Arabidopsis thaliana: one gene and its partners. The protein of the gene in region 1 interacts with the protein of each later gene in a pairwise test. Each region holds a gene or a part of one and is shown on either strand. Other genes may lie near its edges. The genes, in order: bZIP52, GIS, AT4G37850 and NFXL1.

Region 1 (5,475 bases):
TTCCTTTGGTATACTTCCGGTGATCTTATTCCACATGAAACTCCTGGCATTAGAGAAGAAGTTGTACAATACAAAAAGAAAGTTATTCACCATTGAGTATGACAAAAGATCAAGCAACATATCGTGTTAAAAACACGTACAGGATAGTAAGACGAGACAACCGGCCAAGCTCCGGAGACAAGTTCCCTGAGAGATTCATACTGAACAATTGCCTACAAGTATAAACAAAGCTAACTCAAACAAATCTCAAGGAAGACCAAATAAAAGAAAAAAGCAAGAGTGAAGAAGACAATACAATTCGCTGACATGAAGATAACCATCATCAAGAGTGGAGTTGAAGCAGACAACACCAGTCCAATTCGAATTGCACGGGTCTCCATGCTTCCAATTTCTCAATCTATGAACAGGATCGTTCAAACTTTCTTTGATCACTCGCAAAGCCCTCACTAAAACCAAAAAAAACATCAATGATCAGTACCAAATCAGTCGAAAGCTAAGAAAACCCATTGTCACAGACACAAATTGTCTGAAGATCTAACACCAAAGACAAAGCCTTTTAACAACAACAACAACAAAAAAGAAACCTTCAACGGGATTGGTGATGTCGTCTTGAGCAAAAGTAGAAGAAAAGCAACAGAAGAGGAAGAAGAAGAGCAGAGGTATGAGGAGACGAGAGACATGATGGGTCGAAAACATATCGAGAGAGGAGGAAACAGAGGAGACCCAAGGAAAAAACGAAATCTCGAGAGAGAGAGAGTTTAGAAGGAAAAGGCCATGACCAAGTAAGAAACACAAGACAAAGAAAGAGGAAAGTAGTTGGTATTGGGTGGGAGCATTGAAGAGTGATAATACGACATTTTCTAAGTTTGACTATTTCAGGTAATGGATGAGACCGACGGAAGAGCGTCATCATAAGTTTCCGTTGCGCCGCCGCCATAACTTCACCACCTTCTTCCGTCAAAACCATTCTACTTGCTATTTTTCTTCCTTTGTTTAATGATTCCTTGTCTGACCTGTCTTTGACCTTTTTGTCGTTTTTTTAATCCTTTTTTAATGACAGTAGGTAAATCTCTTGCCAGGTGCGATGAATTTCCAAATATTGTCAATAAAGTTACCTTTTTATCCCACCTTGATTTTTTTTTTATGTATTAATTAAAATTTAAAAACGTATACCATTAGCAAATAGTAGCAATCATTGGTATATTGGAATCATATAGTATATGGCAATTTGGTCATCGATATCGTATCTTTATGTGCATTTTGGCCCCCACGATACTAAAAGTCACGAAATTTTCCAAAGTATCGACTTTTATTGGAAAATGGTGCTGATTATCAACTGATTTGTAGAAGTGTGATTAATTACCTGTAGTCATTATGATTTTCTTGAACAAAAAAAGAAGAAACAGAAGATGTATGTCACTATGTCGTATCATTACGAGAGGGAAAAAAAAGAAACAGCTGGAATAAATTACTCAAATAAGAAAAGAAATACAATGGGCACTATTAAAAAGCATAGACATGAGCTATATATTATTTATGTTTAGAGAAGAACTTTCCAACAGAATTTGGTTTTAAAAAATACCCGTTAGGTGACAATAAATGGGAGAAACTATATCTTAAGTATGTTCATTATTTATATATAAAAAAAGGGAGAATCACAATTCACAAGTATGTTGATAAATAATAATAAAACAAAAAAAAAAAAGACAAAAGAAACTTTAGCTGGTAAAAGTAAGCATCATTAGGTTTTTAATTTGAATCACTATTAAATGATGCCGGTCCACTACTTGCGTTTAAGACAATTTAGAGAGACTTAACTAAAAAACTTATTACTTAAAGCGATCAATACGACCATCTTTTTAATTATTTTGACCGGTAAACAAAGTGATGCCCAATTGCCAATTTAAGAGAAGGCCCAAAACATCCTCCTGTCCACTACAGGCGCATTATATGCTCGAGGATTTCTTAAAACAAAACAATACTTGTCTTCTTGTATGGGCCTGATAATTAAGGCCTCCGTATGATTTAGATCCAACCAATAAGTATTTTTCACTATAAGTGAATTTTACTTGTTTCCCAATCCATAGATAGTTCCATACCAAGTTACCAACTTATTATCCCACAAAACATTCTCTCAGACTCTCAGTTCATACAAGGCTTTCTGCCTATTTTTTACTTGTTAAAATTTTGACTCAAAGATACAAAAATATACACTCAGACGTGGGGAGATGTAATGCCATAACAGCTTAAATTAATAAATTTCGTTGAAGCAACTACAGAATCTTGTAATGAATGCTACAAAGAAGATTTAAAGTTAAACAAATTTAAATCATGAAATCGAATAATTAAATAAAATACAAAGAAAAAGGAAAAAAAAATAAAAAAAAAAGGGAGGGAGACAAGATGCTGCGATGGTTCACGTGCCAATGTGCCTTTTACTTTTCATCAACTAGTTTTCTTTTTAATTATTAATAAATCAACTCAATTTCGCAATTTTATAGTTAGTGACGTCACTTCTCTCTCCTCACAGAGTCGAGTTTCTCTCCTACGCTCTTCATTTCATTTCATTTGATAGAGAGAGAGAGAGAGAGAGAGAGAGAGAAAGAGCTTCGTCTTCTTCATCTCCATCATTATCTCCATTGACATTGTTCTCAATTGCGAATAATAATCATAATTATTCACACAACCAAAGCATTCATCTCTCAGATTCTCTTAAAAAAATGGAGAAATCAGATCCTCCACCAGTCCCAAAGCCCGGCGCCACTATTATCCCCTCCTCCGATCCAATTCCTAATGCCGATCCGATTCCATCTTCTTCCTTCCACCGCCGATCTCGCTCCGACGATATGTCCATGTTCATGTTCATGGATCCCCTCTCCTCCGCCGCACCACCTTCCTCCGACGACCTTCCCTCCGACGACGATCTCTTCTCTTCTTTCATCGATGTCGATAGCCTCACCTCTAATCCCAATCCCTTTCAAAATCCTTCCCTCTCCTCCAACTCCGTTTCCGGCGCTGCTAATCCTCCTCCTCCTCCTTCCTCTCGTCCTCGCCACCGTCACAGCAATTCCGTTGACGCTGGATGCGCCATGTATGCCGGTGATATCATGGACGCTAAGAAAGCTATGCCTCCTGAAAAACTCTCTGAGCTTTGGAACATCGATCCCAAACGCGCCAAAAGGTCCTTCTTCTTCTTCTTCAAATTTGTTTCTCTTTCCACAGAATTGAAGAATTGCAATGAAATTAGGGATTTGATTACAGGATTCTAGCGAATCGACAATCTGCAGCTCGATCCAAAGAGAGAAAAGCTCGATACATTCAAGAACTTGAGCGCAAAGTTCAATCTCTTCAAACCGAAGCTACCACTCTCTCTGCTCAGCTTACTCTCTACCAGGTTTCCATATTCGGCGATTCCTCGTTTGATCCCAACAGAATAGGAAAGTTCTTTCCTCTGTTTTACATACATAGACAGATCTTGATTTCAATGTTGTTTTGATTGATCCAGAGAGACACAAATGGACTAGCAAACGAAAACACAGAGCTGAAACTTAGGTTGCAAGCAATGGAACAACAAGCTCAGCTTCGTAATGGTAAGCACAAAAAAAAAAGAAGCTAATTTCTTTGTATGCATTTTGGTGCATTTCTTCAATATTTGCTTTTTGATGTTACAGCTTTAAACGAAGCGTTGAGGAAAGAAGTTGAAAGGATGAAGATGGAGACAGGAGAAATCTCTGGTAATTCAGATTCGTTTGATATGGGAATGCAGCAGATTCAGTATTCTTCCTCAACTTTCATGGCTATTCCACCATATCATGGCTCAATGAACCTCCATGATATGCAGATGCATTCTAGTTTCAATCCTATGGAGATGTCCAATTCTCAAAGCGTGTCGGACTTTCTACAGAACGGCCGAATGCAAGGGCTGGAGATTAGTAGCAATAGCTCAAGCTTAGTCAAATCTGAAGGACCTTCTCTCTCTGCTAGTGAGAGTAGCTCTGCCTATTGACGACAAGATTATGATGAGGCTCATTTTTCTGTTAATAGGTTTTTTTTTTTTTCAATTCATTTGATTCACTTTTGATTATTTATTCTTTCTTTTTTTTGAGGTGCCATTGTGCAAGAAAGGACGTACGTATACATTTGTGTTGGTTATGTGTCGTGAGTTTCGTTGTTTGCTATTCCCATTGTTTGTTCTTCAAGGAACAAAGGAGACTAATAAATTTCATTTTTCTTTTGTATACAATGATGTTTGCTACGTTTTGTTTTATTTTACTAGGAGATGGAGATGTTTAATAAGTTCATTCCAATTGGGTTAATAGTTTGATTTTGGGATCAATGATTTTGATACGACAACACCAAGGCAGTTCCTCAGTAGCTTCTTCTCCAAGACACCCTCACATCCGTCATCCCATTAGAGTTTTGAGACAACTTCTCCCAACCGGACTTCTCCATGAGACAAAATTTCCCAAACTTGGAGTCGGAGTTGAAATGAGAGACGAAGCATTGAGAGATTAGTTTTTGAGACTCTGTAAGACTGTTAACGAAAATATTCGACCTTTGAAAGACATCTAACACGATTCAACCTTTAAGCAAAGACCCATTGTTGGAGAGAACCAACAAAAGTTCCAACCTTTCCAAACTGAGCTAGCAAGAACAATAGAACATGCATAACAATAAGAACGTGGAGAGTTTAGAACATTGTTACCATGTTATCAGACGAAACATCTACTCTCTGGACTGTGGACGTCCTTGGAGAAGCTCGGTCTATTTCGCAAAATAACTTCCAAAAAAAAAAGGAGAGAGCTCAGAATGGGGCAATATCAACTGATATTCAGTAGAATGCATTGGACCCAACCAATGCTAAAGCCAATTTCTTCACAGCTCATGCACCAGCCGGGAATCGAACCCGGGTCTGTACCGTGGCAGGGTACTATTCTACCACTAGACCACTGGTGCTTTGATGACAATTGTTTTGTTTTAATATCTGATATACAATAAAACCACATTTAAACCAATAGGCCCTATTTGATGGCGATACGTAATTTTATTTTTTGGGCTTTTTCATCTTTTGCCAGTGGGAATTTGTGAATTGTGAGTGTTTGTTTCTAACTTTCTATGAAATCGAAATTTGAGAAAATTGTGAGAAATTCAAGAGAATACATGTAAACTAGGGTTCAACAAGTAAATTGCCCCCACAAAACTATGCCAAAAAATGAAAAAACAAAACAAAACATGCCGATAGACAAATTCTAATCCGTATGAAGCCTCGATGTATCTTGAGCACAATATAAATATTTGATTAAATAGAAGCATTTGGGAAGACAACGAGAGATTAGTGTTTGGCTAAAAGAAAAAAAAACGAAACAGAATCCATTTTGTTAATTAGGTTGTGGTCAAACTCAACCCAACTAAGTTAACGACTAATTATTTAAAGATAATACTGATTAATTAAGAAATATCAACGAAGCTTCGGGC
Region 2 (5,094 bases), on another chromosome or scaffold:
AATGATGTTAAGTTTATATTAATGGCTAGACAAACTAATTTAATGCCAAAAATTATTAAAAGTGGAAACTGAAAAACTAAACAAACTTTTAGATGTCCCCCAACAAACTATAAAACTATAATATATATATATATATATATATATGTAACATTGTCGTAGATATTGCTTTAGAAGAGGTTTCAGTTTGATTATAATGCCAAAGTACATAAATTGATTAGACCTTTAAAGCTCTAGACTAAAACCTTATTCAATCTCTTCACCAACACGTGTCATCTTAGTCTACCTCACATTAATCTAAAGGAACACTGTTATTTACGGTTTCTATTCAACAGCTAAAGCCCACCGAGATACTTTCTCTGCTCGCAGCTACATGGGTCACAAATCGGATCTATGCAATCAAATGGTGTTGTTGCACAAGTTGTTTGGTTCTCTTGAAATTTTATAAAGTATACATTTTGATGTGGTTTGCTGGATGTACTAGCAATCTTCTCTTGTATTCATGCTTATGCTCTCGATGTAGACTAAACTGGCGCATTTGTTTATACTTTATATATTTTATAATTTATGTAATAAAAGAATTTTTTTATGTGATGTTATTGTTTTTATAATTCTTGTCACATGAAGGCGATGAAAATTTTGCTTTCTCGTTTAGTTTGCTATTAAGATGACCTTATTATTGTTGTGTGCTTTGGGATATCTAAACCGATATTTAAATTTAAGTATTTTTAAAATCGAAGTTGCTTTATTTTCTTTTCGTCATAAGGGTTCGTATCATTTATAGAAGATTCTTTTTAGATTAAGGCTTGGAATCGATTCCCCTCAACTGTGTCACTTTTTTTTTTTTTTTTTTTTTTGCACACACTTTTATGGCAAAAAAGAAAACCGAATTTCTATGAGCCGGGGGAATGAGTCAAGAGTTCAGTAAACCAAGAAAAGAGAAATGAAAGAAGTAAAAGCTGGTCCCTAAAAGAGAATTCTCTTCGAACTATATAAATAGTAACATCCGGGTACATGTGTGATCAGTGAGTACACACCGACCCCCACGTACGTTCGTAATGAACCCAATTCCCTGATAACTTTCACCTAGTTTTAGATTTTTTTTAGTTACTTATCATAAATTTTACCATGACCCATTTTCTGCTCCATAAATGTTGTACGTGTCTGTTTCATTACTACAGTATTGTTTATTTTTTACAATTGTTTTTAAAAAATAAATTGAAACGGGTCTTTCATTTATTTAGATCAAAGGTTGTCCAAGAGTTTTAGAAGAGCGACGACATCACAAAAATTTGTTTCATGATCAAGATCCCGTGGGCAAATAGATCCTTAAAGAATCTAATCCATATGAATCAGAAAAGGTAAAGATTAACGGAACCGAGACAAGACATGATTAATTCTTTTAATAAAAACCAATTTGATCAAAAACTTAAATTATTAGTATCGAAAAGAAAACTGTACCAAACTAACTAATATGTTACATATTATATGTACTACCTAGATTAGGTTGAGAAAGCTATAGAATTTCTTTTAAAATCGAAAAACTGAAAATCTCAATGAAATTGGAATTGAAAAAAATCGTAAGTCCTATATATTAATTAAGTGCACTATTTGGAAAAGCACTTGTGGGAATTTAATAAGAAACAAAAGTAGATATCACAGGAACCAGGCGGAACAATGGTTTTGAAGGAAGTTTGTTGGGGAAATGAATATATACAAAAAAAAACTAATTTATTGCATTTTGTTCAAGGACCTATTTCATTGTGACCAAATTTAGCAAAAAAACAGTGGCATTTTCGTGAACTAGTAATTTTTCAGAGTTTGTCAAAAAAAAAAAAAGTATTTTTTCAGAAAGTATTGTGTACCAGATAAAATTACACAAAATAAACTACCATATTTACGAAAATGCCACCCATCCACTATGTAAATTAGAAAAACCAAAATATGAATATGGAGAAGTACATTTTCTCGGAGAAAACTATATACTTAATTAGTAATTTATCAAAATATGAATACGAAGCTTTTATGTTATGTATTCGTGTATATATATATAATCGAAGTCAATAATTTAACCTCCAACAACCTTGCGTCTGTCTAAGCATCTATCATAGATCATGCATTATAGATCCATAATCTTCATCCGATACAATCTAACACAATTAATTCCACACCGTTAGTGAATAATATTGCGACTTTTACATATAATATTATATTCAATCCGTTCATCATTCTTAAGTCTTAAGAGACCAAGGATAAGCTATCAACCTTTCTTTAGCTCTTTGATAATTAGAAGCTATCAATCAACCTTTCTGACATACAACAAATAGAAAATTTAATGAATTGCCATAAAAAATAAGAACCAATCAGTTTTATATAAATGTTTATCTATCTCTCTAAAGCCTCATAACTCTATATATCGCCCAGTCTTTTTATCTCTCTGACTCTCTCTCTATGGACGAGGCTACCGGAGAAACAGAAACTCAAGATTTCATGAACGTCGAATCCTTCTCTCAGCTTCCTTTCATTCGCCGTCCTAAAGATAAGAACCCTAAACCCATTCGTGTCTTCGGAAAAGATTTCACCGGCAGAGATTTCTCTATTACTACCGGTCAAGAAGACTACACCGATCCTTACCAGACCAAAAACAAAGAAGAAGAAGAGGAAGAAGACCAAACCGGAGACAACAGTACGGACAATAATAGCATCAGCCACAACAGGAGATTCGAGTGTCACTATTGCTTTAGAAATTTTCCTACTTCACAAGCCCTAGGTGGACACCAAAACGCTCACAAACGCGAACGTCAGCTTGCCAAACGCGGTGTTTCCTCTTACTTTTATCATCCTGACAATAACCCTTACAGTTACCGTCATTACCCGTCGTGGACCAATGGTCCGTTAACCGCGGCTAGGTCCTATGGAGGATTTTCTTCTGGTCCTAAGCCGTCGGGGTATTATACACGACCCAGCTATGGGAGTCAGTTAGGACTATGGCGTCTACCGCCTCGCGTTCAAGGCGTTTATAACTCAAACGCAGCGTTTACTAGTAATGGCTCTTCTTCTTCTTCTAATTCGACTTTACCGTTGTTGACCCGTTCTCAAACTCAACTATCATCGCAAGTGGGTGGCTCCGCTGCTCAGAACAGAATGTCATCGTACGGTTACGGATTGAGCCCTAACGTGCAAGATCATGTGAGTCTCGATCTTCATCTTTAAAGATTTGAAAACAAAATAAAACTCTTATTGAGTGTTATGTAACTTAGTGCAAGAAAAAACAACCTAAGTTATTGAATATTACGTAATCTTTAACGATTAGACTTCTTATTATCTATACCTATTCCCTTATTGAATGTTTTGTAAGGTAAGAAACGGCACGATGTGTAAGATTCACGGCATCGATCTTTCTTTTTTTACCCATACGTGCTTGAATGAAGGAAGGGAATTTATGAATTTACGTGTCCACATTTAATATAGCTTCGAACACTATCGTTTTGGTTCAGGGAAATTGTCAGTAATAGACTCATAGCAGTGCTTACTAGTTACTAGGGTATTTAACTATAACCGCACAGTGACTCAGATAGAATTTCAACGATAAAATGATAGAATCTTTACTGTACGGAACTAACAAGTAACAAATACAAAAACAAAAATTAAACCTCTCGAGTACAAATCTTTTTACGAGGGTTTGAAACGAATCTAATGGACACTGTACTCATCGCCATCTCCTTGAAACAAATAAAACTCAAGATGGGTAATAAGTAGCTAGGTAATAATTTTAGATGATGCCAATGATGATAATTTGGTGCGTGTGGGTAAGTGAAGACAATGGACAAGACAAAAGGGTATAGAGAGAAACAAAGTGAGTGAAGTGGTCCATAAACACACAGATGTAGAGTTTACGATAGAGATTTCTCATCTGTACTTAATGTAATTACTATTCTCGTAACTTGCAATTTCGAGTAAGAACATAAAGAAGGAGCTAAAGCAAAGCAAAATTCCTCAAGCTTTCTACTTTTGTGTTTATTTCTTAACTTTTCTTTTAGGTAATCCAAAGAATACCAACAAGACAACAGCCTCTATAGTCTATATATATCTCAATCAATGAACTTGAAAAAAGTTGTGATTCACATACCGTAAACTCCAATTAACAGATGCCACGAGATTGATTATGACGGGTTGGTCCTGTTGCATTCAAAAGGACAAATACAAAACTACTAATGATATCAGAGAATGTCAATGACCCGAAATGGTTTTCAAGACAAAACATGGGAAAATCCTTGTACCTAATTAACCATGTAGTTTATTTTATTTTATTTTTATGTTAAACTATCAAATCAAAACATAAATATAGATGACAACGTAGCTAGGACTTTGATCCAGAAGAACATACGAGTTTCCACATTTGACAAGACTTTAATCAAAGAATATCACAAGCATTAATTCACAACCTCCACCAATATAATGCACTATGCAACAACATGGTGATGGTTACATATATATGGTTTCTTTTAGAAATCAACTAATCTGATTCAATCAAGTCTCCTATGAAAGGAAATGGAAAATGACATGCCAAAACGACATCTTTGGACACTTTATTGAGAAAATGCAGGTAGATGCAACATCGCAAAAACTCTTGCTTGTACTTTTTGTCTATCAAAATAATTGTATTTAAACACGGTATGGCTAAGATATAACTAACATTAGCAATATCAGTGACACCAACCTAAAGCTATAGATAAGTTTGAGAGGCTCATGCAGATAGCGACGTTGCTATTTTCGGACCTGGAGACTTTAGTAGCGGAACAGTCTCCATCAGTTAAACAGGGAAGGGAACAGATGGTGCAACTTCAGCCTGTAGATCATAAGGGAAGTGATAAGGTTTTTCAGATAAATTTTATGGACACGTTTCAACATAAATTTTGCAATAAGGATGTTTCAATTGTCACCAAGAGTAGTAACAAAACAAAAATACAGAAAAGAATTAAAAGACGTATCTGACCTCCAGGAACAGTTCCTCAGCTACAAACAAACAATACTAGTTGGGAATTATAAGAGTATATTTATTAGATAATAGGAAGTTTTTGGAAATACTGTCAAAAG
Region 3 (5,418 bases), on another chromosome or scaffold:
ATAATCAGGTAGAGTTTTACGCAAGGAAAGTTTTTTTTCTTTCTGTTTTCTTTATCAGGCAATGATTGGCATTTGTTTGATTGTTCTTTGTTTGTTACACTTAGGTGAGACTTGACCATTTATTCTTTCCCTCTTCTTAGGGATCAAATTGATGTCAACAAGATTTCAATCTGAAACAGGGTTTTGAAGTCTTCTTTTGGTTCATTTTTGTTCAAAACTGAGGATTAGGATGAAGAGTGCTATCAAATCCATAGCAAATCTACAGCAAATCCATCAATTATAGGGCCAATTGCTATATATTTATCAACCAACACATAATGGCAGAGAAGATAATAATAAAAATTGTTCAAGTCTCACTAAAGTGTTTCTTACATGACATAATGCAAAAGCTTATAATAAGGTTTCTCTATTTTTCTGTATCTACTGTTTGATCTCTTTGGTTTCAATTTTAGGGTTTTGACTTCAAAAACTAATTATTCTCTCACGTTACCCAACGATACGGATCCAGGAAACTATTTAGAATTAGATCTTGAGAAATGGACAATAAGATTTTAAAATTAACAACCTAATCATCATGTATGTGTACTTGGAGCTTTAGAAAAGGAATAATATAAGGGCCCCTAATATTAATTATTATTTATTTTTATTTTTGACGCCAACTTATCAGATTTTTTTTTTTATGCAGAAGTAAAAAAAATACACTAAATTTTGTTTGCAAGAGCCAAGATGCTTATATTTCATGGGATGTACTGTCTTGGTGATGTGATATAGTAATATAGTGATATAGATCCAGAAAACTGTTAAATATTTAGATGCTTTGATACCATATCAGGAATCTTCAATCTTCTGTAACAAACTCTTGAGAGAGAGAGTGAAAGAGAAAGAAGAAAAAGATAGAAACAAAATAATCGTCTATTTGTAAATGTGTACAATGTACTGTATATATACTCTATCACATTTTATACTATAGAGTAAAATATACTCATGATAATATTATAGTTAATTTAGTATTTAGATCTTGAGAAATGAAATACTATATAAAAATATAAAATTCGAGGGATTTAGTATTAAATTTTTATGGAGATTTGTAAAACACTGAATTTGGTTTGCAGGCGCCAAGATGCTTCTGTCATGGGGCGTAGTAATGGAGGAAAAGAGGGAGAGATCTAGTTGTAAGTGAACTGGCTTTTATTTCTATTTTAGTACTTAGATTATAATATCCCAAGTATATTTTGTTTACCTAGCTTACCATTTCTATGAAGTTCAACAATTCCGACAAATACTTGACTTAAAATATCAACTTTACATAAAAGAGTTTCATGTTTGATTGATTATTTTTACCTAATCGATTATATATTAAGAGTAGCACGTTTGCACAAGACACAAGACACATGAGTTCCAGGAAAGTAAAAATTATCTTAGTGTCGATCACTTGTAGTATAATGTTTGAATATTCTGATTGAATAAAATATAAACTTTTGTGATTTTGTTTGTTCATAATCGAACGTCTTTGACAGTCATGGTGATTCACACATTTAATCAAACTGTGTATAAAAGATGAGAGCTTTTAGAAGAGAACGCCAATGGTTAAATTCAAATCATACTTTAATCTTTTTTTTATTGTTGAATTTACAATTTTCTTGAAAAAAAGAAAATTCGTGGAAATAATTAATGTCGTAACCAATACCATATAATATACCATAAAATCGTAGCGAGATCTTTGGTTGGTGTCACATTTTTAGTTTACAAGAGAAAAGTATAAAACTAATGGGAATATGTATTAGATTATATTCAATTGGACCCACAATTTGATTATGGAAAGTTTCCTGTCATCTTCTGTCTATTTTTGCTTATCATAAGTTCGCTTATCATAAGAAATTTATGAAAATTAATCATGAATGCTTTCCTTTTATTGGTTCTTCAACAACATACATATTCAGATAGTGAGTGAAGGACACTTTAGTATAAATTACTTGACTATATATATAAGTTTATTACTCAGTAATAATAGCAGAATTTGAATACAAGCTTTCTATATACAAATGTTTTTACAATTGGCCAACAACATTTTGATGCGCGTCATAAGGTTTAATATTTTTATATGATGTTAGAAAATATTTTTTTGAACAGTTTTGATTTTTAATTGGTTTCATATTCGCATACCACACCTGATACATAAATTCATGTCAAATTTGGATGCATTTTGAAAAATGTATTTATGGAGAAACTAATATTTTTTTAAAAATAAAACCAAGGGAAACAAGATGAGTAAACATATATCAAAACAAAATAAAAATTGAGGCGATTTTTTTTGTTTCTAAGAAGAAACCCTAAAAATACACTTAATAATATAAACTCAAAAACCTGATATATTCAATAGACGAATACCCTTTTTGTCTCCGGCCCGCAACATTTTTATATTCATTCAAATAGGACCTCAAAATACTGTATACGTCAATGAGTAACTTTGAACAACCTGTGAAATTTGACAAATATAAAACAATCTATAATATAATTAATTAGTTTTGACACCCAAATGCTGTGAGAAAAAAGGAATATTTTTAGTGTGAAAGTTGAGTAGTATTGCCTTTCACACGTGCAAATTACTTCATATGTGTGTCCATCTCTATATATACATGTACATATATGCATGTGCATTCCACTGTTTTCACACACAAATCTCTCTTCTCTCTCTCTCTTCTCCTAGAAGCTGGTGAGTTTTATTTCTTTGTGATTCAAAAAACATAAATCTCAACCCTTACTAAATGTTTCTTGATCTTGGGTTTTTACTATACGTCAAATCTTGTATTTGAAACCCAAGATGATCTGCTAATTTATCTTTTTTCTTGGTTAAATACAGTTTCTTGTTTATAAATCATACACTAATATTCTTTTTACCATTTTCAGATTTTCAGAGGCAACAGCAATGAGTATCTTATCCACAAGATGGTTTTCTGAGCAGGTATATATGCGCATAAACACATACACTCATGTATATATGTTGTCATCTGGGACTGTTTTTCATTGTTTTTTGTTCTTTTTTCTTTTGGGTGTGATGTTATATTTTAGGAAATAGAAGAAAATAGCATAATTCAACAGTTTCACATGAACTCAATAGTGGGAGAGGTCCAAGAAGCTCAATACATTTTTCCACACTCTTTCACGACCAACAATGATCCCTCTTATGATGATTTGATCGAAATGAAACCACCAAAGATCCTTGAGACAACTTACATATCACCTTCTTCTCATCTTCCTCCAAATTCAAAGCCCCATCATATTCACCGTCATTCTTCCTCAAGAATTCTCTCTTTCGAAGATTATGGTTCAAATGATATGGAACACGAGTACTCTCCCACCTACCTAAACTCAATCTTTAGCCCAAAATTAGAGGCTCAAGTGCAACCACACCAGAAGAGTGATGAGTTTAATCGAAAAGGGACCAAGAGGGCTCAACCGTTTTCAAGAAACCAATCCAATGCTCAGGATCACATAATAGCCGAAAGAAAACGTAGAGAGAAGCTTACTCAAAGATTCGTAGCTCTTTCCGCTCTAGTTCCTGGCCTTAAAAAGGTATACATACCATCAGATCTTCCTTCTTGATTACCTTTTTCAAAAAAATACATGTTTTTGAATCTATAGGTGTAATTTTTTTCTAATTGCGTGCATAGATGGACAAGGCTTCTGTGTTGGGAGATGCATTAAAGCATATAAAGTATCTCCAAGAAAGAGTGGGAGAGTTGGAGGAACAGAAGAAAGAAAGAAGATTGGAATCAATGGTTCTTGTGAAGAAGTCTAAGCTGATCTTGGACGATAATAATCAATCATTCTCTTCTTCTTGTGAAGATGGCTTCTCGGACTTGGATCTTCCCGAGATCGAGGTAAGATTCTCGGATGAAGATGTTCTAATCAAGATCCTTTGCGAGAAGCAAAAGGGTCATCTTGCCAAGATTATGGCCGAGATTGAGAAACTTCATATCTTGATAACTAATTCAAGTGTATTGAATTTTGGACCAACTCTTGATATCACCATTATAGCTAAGGTATGCAAATGTATATTCAGGCATACACTTATACATATAAATGAAGAACTTGTTCTTAATTTTAGAGTAACATCGCTTGATGTTTATTTTTCAGAAGGAGAGTGATTTCGACATGACACTCATGGATGTTGTAAAGAGCTTAAGGTCTGCTTTGTCGAATTTCATATGATTGTATTAACTTTCATGCTTCTCGTCAATTTCTACTGTGGGAGATCTTGTTGAACACATGGACGAAACATAAGTGGTTTGCCATGAAAATGTTTTTTTTTTTTTATAAGTTTGATTGGAGGTTTTCTTATCTGTTAATTATCTATAATTCTATATATAAATAAGATTAAATTAGTTGAAAATTCACTTCTCTTTTTTTCTCTATTTGGTTCTTTCCCCCTTTATGTATTATATTGCTGTTTCCAAAGATGTAAAGCACTTCCGTTTATGTATTTGTATTATATGGTTTATATTTTGTAAGTCTGTTCAATCTTATACCAAATCACTAAAGTTTGTAGTAATAATTTTTTGGGAGGAGTTAGAGCAAGTTATTGGTGCACAAAAATTTAGAGCAATTTATATTGAATTTGATTGATTACTGTCATTATGAGTAAGAGTAATTTGAATTCAAAGTAACATATGGTAAATTAGCACTGTCAAATACAACAAAGTACCCAGTCCAAGACATTCTAGATTCAGAAAATCATAATAAAAAAAAAAATTATCACTTGGATAATCAAGGCAAGGAATGCGGCATGACGACCAAGTCTTTCCTTCCGTGTTAGAGAACAACAAGGATAATCATAGGATACTAACAAAGTTGGACAAATCGTGGATTCGGAAAGTGGATAACTATCCTTCTCTTTCTTTCAGCTATAATAAAAATATTATATCCGCAATGCGAAAAATGAACAATTATGGTTTCACATTTCACAAAACAATAGATAATATGTGTACATATGCATATATACAAACACTATATCCAGGTGCAAAACGTCTGAATCGTGTATATATAATATATATATTACATATTATTGCAACGGAACTAGACAAAAAAGGGTATTTATGATAATATGATCCAGTGAAGATTATGTGAATCTAGCTCCAGATTTATTATATATACACGATTCAGACGTTTTGCACCTGGATATAGTGCCAATTAGAAATTAGAAATTGATGTTTAGTTATCTTTTGTTTGGTTCAAATGTTTAGTTATCTTTTTATACGACATATATGTGCCAATTAATCGCTAACTTATTACTTTCTACTATTACTAGTTTGAAATAAAAAGAGAAAACGATTTATACGTTTCAAAAGTCCAAACTAACCATAGTTGCCTTTAAGCGATCTAACCCCATTGGGGTGGATATAAATTGACGTACATGTC
Region 4 (8,300 bases), 1.2 Mb from region 1:
AATCCTTCTCTGTCTGGCAGCTGGATATGGCGTAAGTTGTGCAAGCTACGACCTTTTGCTCGTCCTTTCATCATTTGTGAGGTTGGATCCGGGGTGACTGCTAGTTTCTGGCATGATAATTGGACTGATCATGGGCCTCTCCTTCACCTGACTGGTCCTGCTGGTCCTCTCTTAGCCGGCCTGCCTTTAAATTCGGTTGTCAGAGATGCTCTCCGCGATGATACCTGGAGGATCTCTTCTAGTAGAAGCCGCAATCCGGTAATCACTTTGCTTCAACGAGTTCTTCCTTCTGCTGCGAGTCTAATTGATTGTCCGCATGATGATACTTACCTTTGGAAAATTGGTCATCATGCACCGTCAAATAGATTCTCTACAGCGGACACTTGGAGCTACCTTCAGCCCTCTAGTACTTCAGTTCTGTGGCATAAGGCGGTTTGGTTTAAGGATCATGTTCCGAAACAAGCTTTCATCTGTTGGGTTGTGGCCCACAACAGATTACACACTAGGGACCGGTTAAGGAGATGGGGCTTCTCTATCCCGCCCACTTGTGTTCTGTGTAATGACCTTGATGAGTCTAGGGAACACCTTTTCTTTCGGTGTCAGTTTAGCTCAGAGATTTGGAGCTTCTTCATGAGAGCCTTAAACCTCAATCCGCCTCCTCAGTTTATGCACTGTCTGCTTTGGACCTTGACTGCTTCTCGAGACAGGAACATCACGCTCATCACCAAGCTCCTTTTCCACGCTTCTGTCTATTTCATTTGGCGTGAGCGCAATCTTCGCATTCACTCAAATTCTGTTAGACCAGCTCATTTGATCATCAAGGAAATTCAGCTTATCGTTAGGGCTAGGTTGGACCCTCTGTCTCGGTCTTCCCGCGTCGTCTCTCAGCCAGGCTCTTCTCTTCTTGCCTCGTGGTTTGGAGTGTTTCAGCGTTCACCTGTCTCTGGTTAATGTGGAGTTTATTTTGCAGGTCCTCTGTTGGCTCAGCGTTGTTCTCCTTTTGTTTTGCTGAGATCTTGTCGTCCTTGGGTTCTCTCTGGGCCTCGTCGCTGGGATTCAGGTTCTCGGTTTTTTCTTGTTCTGTTAGTTGTTGGGCCTGCGTGCCTTCTCTGGGCCTGCGTGCCTGTTGTATGGCCTTCTAAGCCTTGTAACCTTTTTCGTTTTATTGGAAATTTATGAAAAAAAAAAAAAAAAAAAAAAAAAAAAGAATATGACACATAAAAGAGTTTTTTTTTCACTATTCCTAATGATTTCAGCACCTAACCGTTAATTGCAGAGGAGAAAATGATTTCAAGATAAAGAGTACTAATGAATGAATAACCAACCTTAGTGTTGCATCATTATGTCAAGAATAAAAGAGAAAAAAAAAAGCGTTACAAACATGCCGTTTCACAATAACTGAAGTTACTGAACAATGGGATGTTTTTTTAGTTACTACATAAATAAACCAAACGCACGCCAAAGATGCCAAAACAAAAACGGCACGTCGTTGGCTATCACCTAAGCTTTGAAATGGACTCATCACAGCATACGCACACGCATACAGTCTCCATTATATACGTCTGAACAATCTGCCGTTTTCATACATCACAAAGAAGTTGAAAACCAATCACAGTCGTTGGGTATATGCTCTCACTCACATACCTTCTCCCAGTCATCCACCACTTCTTCACCGGAGCCTTCCACCGGTTGTTTACCGGTAGTTTTTGAACTACTGCTCTCTTCTATCTGAGCAATTGGCTCCAAAGTGGATGTGCTGGCCTTCTTGGGCTCTAAAACACTCCAACGGTTAACCGAGGTAACAATTGGAGAGTTGCTCTTTGCTGATCTCAGCGCAGAGGCTTGAGCATCTGTAGATGATCCTCCAATGGGGGAATCTTCAGCTCCCCAGGAGTCATCACTCTCCTGAATCACAGCTCTCCTCCATGGATTTCCTTTGTCAACATCCCACGCCGAGCTGCCAGGTAATTTTCCCCATACATTATTAAGTGATGGAGATTGCCCGCCGCTCTGGACAACCACAGCTCCATGATATACTGAACCGTGCTCAAGCCTCCTCATGGCAGTGGCAGCTCGGGCATGGTCGTGGAACACCGCTAAAGCATTCTTGTCATTCAGCCAAACAAGCTCACATTCACCCCCAAATCTCAGTACCAAGGCGCTGATATTCGCCTCTCTCGGAAGATCCAGAAAAGAAACCACAAGTCCAGGATCCATATCCACCAGCGAATCATAGAACGGTGGGTGTGGCCCTCCTATCGAGATAGCACCACCCCTAGCTCCAATGATCCTTGTTGGCGGTTTCGATTTTGCTGTTACGTGAACCACTGTAAACCGTTTTGGCTCCCACCCTGCGTTGCTAACACCAAGTTTCCACCTCTCAGCTATAAGTCGAACCGTGTCTCGTTTATCCTTCTGCATCGGGCAGAAGATATGGACCTTAAGGGCACTTGTGCTTCCTCTTGCTTTCCCAAGTACCAAGAACTTGCAGCGCTCTTCAACAGCCAGTACCCACTTTGGATCACGCCTATAAAGGTCTGAAATAATCTCTGTCATAGCAGAATTCTCGCTGAAATGTAATGCCTCCAGATTTGGGGGAGTTATATCAAATGCATCTTGAAGAACCCGCTTACGCTCCAGCTTCGCACACTCATCATCACACGAAAGCTTTCTCTGCCCGAGGGGGATACGGTTTCCGCTCGATTCAACAGGCTGAAGTGGAGCTGGAAGCTTCTGTAAAACAGAGGCTTCATCATAGGCCGCACAGTAAACATTAGAACCGTTGGCACTTCTTCCCCCAGCATCACAAGGGACCGTAGCGGTTATACGACCACATGAACAAGTAATTGTGACTGAAAATTCACATCTTAGGTCAGGGCAAGGCGCAGAAGGATGGCAGAGTGCTGCACAAGTGTGTCTGCAATCTGTTCTAGGAGCACCACATTTCTGTCTACACGTAACACGCATACCTGCTTCAGATTCATTGAAGCTGTCACAAGGCTCCGGGTGACAAGTTCTGGCACAAGCATGCATGCCACAACGCCTCGTCTTTCCACAAATCTTGGTACATCTAATGTCTTTCAACCCACAGGGTATGTTTCTGAGAACCACATGACCACCAACGCACTTCTTTTCCACAGGGGTAGAACAAGGAGGACAATCTCCAAAATGGCATCCATGCGTATCAGAATGGCCACAAGGCTGAGGAATCGGGCATGGAAGCTGACAGCTAGGAACAGGTGTCCCACATGATAGTGGAGGAGGAATCGAAGTTCTTCCACAAGCACATGTAAGATCAGTGAAGATCATCTCGAGACAAGGAGGGCAATGTCCACTGTGACATAAAGATTCACAGGAATGCTGCCCACACCTTAGCTTCTTCTGACAAGGTATTTGGCAGACATGTGGGTCCCAATCGCCAGATAAATCATTCTTCTTCCCGTTCAAGAGAGGGCAGCAACGCTCGCTACATCTATGTCTCCCACAGTTCTTCTTACGTCCACATGGCTTAGCGCACACAAACTTCTCTGCCTCTGAGGAAGTTGTTATGTAGCATTCCACAGCCCTGGATGTTGACCCACACCGGCATTTCTGGTTAACTTGGACTAAACAAGGCGGGCAATCACCTGCATGGCACATCTCATTGCAAGTATGTAACCTACAAGGAAGAAGCTTCCTACATACATTTGAACAAGAAGGAATTGGGTCCAAGCAACTCTGCCTGATCTGTTCTTCTAAACGCGTATTCCCACAATAGCATGTCTTAACTCTACTGGGCAGTAAGTCACAGTCCCCGCAAGGTCCAGGATGGCATACCTCGGAACAGAAATGATTACCACATCCAAGAGGCTTCCCACAGTTAAAACTGCATGAATAGACACCATCTTCTGCTTTCAATTCCCCCTTCACATTCATATCACCGCAAATGACAGTCTCCACTTTTTTCTTGCAGAAACATGTGGCATTTACCAGTACCTGACAAGGATCACAAGGGCCAACATGACATGTCCTTTCACATTGATGACGCCCGCAACTAAGAAGCTTATCGCAACGCTGCCCACAAACAAGATCAGATCTCCGCTCGGAGCATCTAGTAGTAACCATCTTTTTCCCACAAGGACAGCTACGAGGTGGAGCAAAGGCTTTACAGGGAGGACATGGACCAGGATGACACTGCAAAACACATACATGAGGACAAAGATCCTCTTCAGTCGTCTCAGCAGGTGCAAACTCTTTCTCCAGCGGTTTCCCACATGGTTCCCCGCATGAGTGTGGAGTGAGATATGGGTCAGACGGTGGATCTCTTCTCTTTCCACAAAAGCACCGATAGGAAATCTCTTTAGATGATGTCAACTGTACAGATTGGCAACCTGGACATCTCCAGTTATCACCTTGGTTTTTCTCAGCTAGCAAATCAACTGAAGTTGGTGCTCGAGCCCACCTCTTGATACAGTTGATATGGAAGATGGAATAACAGCTGGAGCATGACCAGATATTGGCAGACCTCCCAACCTTGTCATAACAAATCATACACTCAATAGAACTCTTGACAAGCTTCTCCTGTAACTCTTGAACAAGTTGAGGCAAGTTTGGGTCTGTCAACACAACATTCTCCTCCTTCGCTACCCTTTTCCCCTGATTCACAGGCCGCGTCCTAGATGCAACTCTTTGGCGATTATCTGGCAGAGTTCCAGAAGCATTATTCCTTCTTTGTCGATTAGGTGGAGGTGGACCAATGTTATCACTCCTTTGGTGCTGGTTCTCAGGAGCATTATTTCTTCTATGTCGATAAGGTTGAGGTGGACCACTGTTATCACTCCTTTGATGCTGGTTATCAGGCGCATTATATCTTCTATGTTGATTAGGTTGAGGTGGACCAATGTTATCACTCCTTTGATGCTGGTTATCAGGCGCATTATATCTTCTATGTTGATTAGGTGGAGGTGGACCAATGTTACTACTCCTTTGGTGGTGGTTATAGGACGGAGGACCAGAAGCGTTATGCTGCCTTTGCAGATAAACAGGACGGGATGCAGAACCAGCATCAAGGGTTTCAGAATTTCTATCTGTATTAGGAGGAAGCAAAGGCTCATTTACCACCACGCTCGAGGTAGATGAGTTTCTAGGAATCCACGTTTGCTGATGATTGAATCGATGAGACCTATCATCGCTCCTATCTCGCCTGACTTGAAAGCTCATATTCTGCCTTGACTCCACAAACACAGAACTAGATCCTGTACCCGTCACTGTTGGAGCAATGGTGCTTCTGTACAAAAAGAAAAGCAAATGAGAAACATTCAGATTCTAGCAATGTCAAACATTGATGGCCCAGATAAATTCACCACACACGAAAATACGAGCAAACCAATCTACGTAACAATAAAATCTTACACAGCTACAACGATGTTGAAATTAACTAAAGCCAAATCAAACGAATCGAAAATTGATAGCAAGACGCCTAAACTATTCCTCCTTCTTTGGGATCTAAAAAAGGGGGTAAAATCAAAGTGCCCTATTTTATCATATCTAAGAAATTTTGGTGACCAACACCAACCAACACACAAATTTTGGCTTCGATATTGCTGAATCAAAGAGAACGATAAAACAAATGATTAGAAGCTCACAACCAAAGAGGGGGAAAAAGTTTGGTACCTGACAAGAATATACGAAAGCGTATAAAGAAGGAAACAATCGCCGGAAGAATCAAATACGCAGGAGATTCCGATTAGTCTCCCTTGTTTTCTCAGGGAGAGAGAGAAAGAGACTGTAGGAGAAAATGGAGCGATGAGGAAGATTATATATAGCGACTGAAAGTGATAGACCGCCTTGCTCCCAAAGGAAATAAAAGATAGAGAGAGAGAGTCGCGTACGACTTTTCTTTTTCACCGGCTTGTCTGAATTATTTTATGCTTGACAAACCCTCAAGAACCGCCTCATCCCTAATGGGCTAACAATGGGCCTATACTAATTGACTTAAACCAATCTAAACCAGTAATTTAATTTGCAGATGATTTCGGTTAACTTTATATATATTAACTTGAGAGTTTTGAGAGACTTGACTACAGGATACAAACTACAAAGAAAGTGGTCAAGACTCAGAATCGGTGAAAGATGGACTCTCTAGGTCAGCCATGCTTGCAGAGGCAAATGACTCGAACGAGTCCACTGTGGAGAGTGAAGATGTATCTTCGGAATCTGAGTCGTCATCCATCTCAGGGAGGACGATGTGATGATCGTCTTCTTCTTCTTCTTCACACTCATATTCTTCCGGTTCTGAAGCATCCTCAGACCCCATGAGTAGCCTGTTGATAGCTGACTTGGCGGCTTCTGTGAACCACTCTGTCTTCGGGAGTGAGCTGGTGAAAGAGAATAATACACTTTTTAGGTAATTCGTTATGTTGAGACCGAGTTGGAAGAAAATTCAAAAAGAGTGTTGTTTCAATTACCTTTGTGGGTTGATGCCTCTTTCCGAGAATATGTTGATGGCTCGATTGATCACCACTGATGCATGGTTCTGAACTACTTTAAATGGATAACCTGCAAACCTGGCTATCTCCACTGTGAAGTTCATGTCGAGGATCAACTGCAACACGTGACAACAAAACTTCAACTTTCAACCCCAATCTTCTCAAGAAATGAACTTCAACATCAAGTTTCAATTGTTTCCCATTTCAAATTTTCAATCTTTGACTGCTGAGCCTGAGATCAGAGAATAGCTGAGGTATATAAGAGTGGTGAAAGAGAGTGTTTCTACCTGTTGCAATCCAGATGGCTGAAGTGGATTTGACTCGTCCTCGAATGCACTCCAAAACTCCTGCTCGTTTGATAGCCAGATTATAACCGTCTCTGTTAATCTCGCTAGTAGAATCTTTTGCAGCTTCTCTTTACCAAGCAGAACATCCCCAGCAATTATGGCCAACTGTTGTAGCTTAGAAAACAATGCCTGCATAAGAACAGACACAGATGATTCTGTGTGCTAAAACTTATAAACTGGGAACTATAAAACTAGATCAAAGAAGAGGGCGAGACCTGAAACGGTAAAGACGGCAGATGCAAGTCATCTGGTGTTTCGGTTAAATAAATGAGTGCGTCTAATCGCGTTAGTCCTTCCCTAGAGTAGATGAAGCTCAAGACAAACTGCAGACAGAAGTAGTTTCTGAGTTTGTCAAATGCTTGAACCATATGGCGTTTCCATTCTTTCAGTTCCGGTGCAGCACTACTGTTTAGAGCGGCACTATTCTCACCTTCTCCTCCGCCATTTTCAATCTGGAGTTTCCAGACTTTAACAAGTGATCTTGGTAAAAGTTCGTCAAGTATTGTAAACGCAGCTCCAAGAAGCGCAAGCTGCTCAGAATCTGTCTCAGCTCTAGCGAGTACGGTATTATCTTGGAGCTCAGGTAGACCATCCTCATCTGAATGGCCAGGCAAGGCTTTGATCAGAAAGTCGATGTATTTATCATATAGTTGCAATATCCTCGTTAGTACACTCTCACCAAAGTGTAACACAACTAGGTGTGTTAACTGCTCAAGTATGTCCTGAAAGAACAAATAAAGCTTCTATAAATTTATGCCAACAGAATCAAAGAAAATAGTAAGATCAGTGTTCAAAATCAACTTACTTGCACAATTTGCATGAATCGAATGCTACAATCAGTCATCATAGTATCTGAAGCGATAGCGAATTCAGATAATATTGTCACAAAGTCAGAGGGTGATTCCAAGCCCTCATCAGTTTCATTCAAGTCAAAGATAACCCTTCGAGCCCGTCTAAAATTCAACTCCAACACTTCTTCAACATAAGGTCGGAACAGCACCAAAAATAGCTTAGACAGAAATAAGCCTTGTGGTTCCAACACTTTGCAATAGTTAAGACAATCTTGAAGACATATACTGGCTGCCCGCAATGCAGAAGCTGTTTCGGAAGGAGAAGCGTTTTCTTTAACCAACCGCACCAAATATTCAACTTCCCTCTCTGCCCATTGAACAACTTTGTTGGAATATGCGGGATTATCATCGTCACCAAACATGGCTGCGGATTCTTTTGTAGCCACTGAGATGTTAGAGAAAACAAGCTTAGAGAGAGTAGCAGGAAACGTGTTTGGGCAAGTCAAACATGAAGGGAGAAAGGCCTCGATTCTTCTGCGGAGGCTTGTGGCGTAAAACTTTAGAAGCAATTGGTGAGCTGAAGGTCCTTTTCCAAGTCTGATTAACCCAATCAATGCATGCTTCAATTCAGCTACACAAATCGAGGGTTGTTTAGCGATCCTAAGGAGCTGATCCTCAAGAACCGCCTTTCTTTC

The links.
Region 2: the proteins of bZIP52 (region 1) and GIS interact in a two-hybrid assay, tested with the Arabidopsis thaliana proteins (one large-scale study listed by BioGRID).
Region 3: the proteins of bZIP52 (region 1) and AT4G37850 interact in a two-hybrid assay, tested with the Arabidopsis thaliana proteins (one large-scale study listed by BioGRID).
Region 4: the proteins of bZIP52 (region 1) and NFXL1 interact in a two-hybrid assay, tested with the Arabidopsis thaliana proteins (one large-scale study listed by BioGRID).

What each region holds. Positions count from the first base shown.
Region 1 is NC_003070.9:2,102,513-2,107,987, forward strand, and holds bZIP52 (basic leucine-zipper 52), read left to right. Parts: upstream 1-2,535; 5' UTR 2,536-2,720; coding exon 2,721-3,181; intron 3,182-3,261; coding exon 3,262-3,394; coding exon of another isoform or gene 3,395-3,496; intron 3,497-3,505; coding exon 3,506-3,590; intron 3,591-3,671; coding exon 3,672-4,006; 3' UTR 4,007-4,237; downstream 4,238-5,475. Other genes in the region: AT1G06840 (Leucine-rich repeat protein kinase family protein), read right to left, coding at 1-43, 141-212, 296-446, 585-696.
Region 2 is NC_003074.8:21,504,961-21,510,054, reverse strand, and holds GIS (C2H2 and C2HC zinc fingers superfamily protein), read left to right. Parts: upstream 1-2,315; 5' UTR 2,316-2,448; coding exon 2,449-3,210; 3' UTR 3,211-3,483; downstream 3,484-5,094. UniProt on the Arabidopsis thaliana protein: Probable transcription factor required for the initiation of inflorescence trichomes in response to gibberellin (GA). Mediates the induction of GL1 expression by GA in inflorescence organs and is antagonized in its action by the DELLA repressor GAI.
Region 3 is NC_003075.7:17,795,156-17,800,573, reverse strand, and holds AT4G37850 (basic helix-loop-helix (bHLH) DNA-binding superfamily protein), read left to right. Parts: upstream 1-2,672; 5' UTR 2,673-2,713; intron 2,714-2,869; exon of another isoform or gene 2,870-2,907; 5' UTR 2,908-2,926; coding exon 2,927-2,962; intron 2,963-3,069; coding exon 3,070-3,573; intron 3,574-3,671; coding exon 3,672-4,043; intron 4,044-4,137; coding exon 4,138-4,212; 3' UTR 4,213-4,502; downstream 4,503-5,418.
Region 4 is NC_003070.9:3,332,293-3,340,592, forward strand, and holds NFXL1 (NF-X-like 1), read right to left. Parts: upstream 5,793-8,300; 5' UTR 5,653-5,792; intron 5,267-5,652; 5' UTR 5,200-5,266; coding exon 1,645-5,199; coding exon of another isoform or gene 1,633-1,644; exon of another isoform or gene 1,572-1,632; coding exon 1,497-1,571; 3' UTR 1,303-1,496; downstream 1-1,302. Other genes in the region: AT1G10180 (LOW protein: exocyst complex component-like protein), read right to left, coding at 6,089-6,356, 6,447-6,583, 6,755-6,943, 7,030-7,536, 7,620-8,300. UniProt on the Arabidopsis thaliana protein: Mediates E2-dependent ubiquitination. Confers resistance to osmotic stress such as high salinity. Promotes H(2)O(2) production. Negative regulator of some defense-related genes via an salicylic acid (SA)-dependent signaling pathway.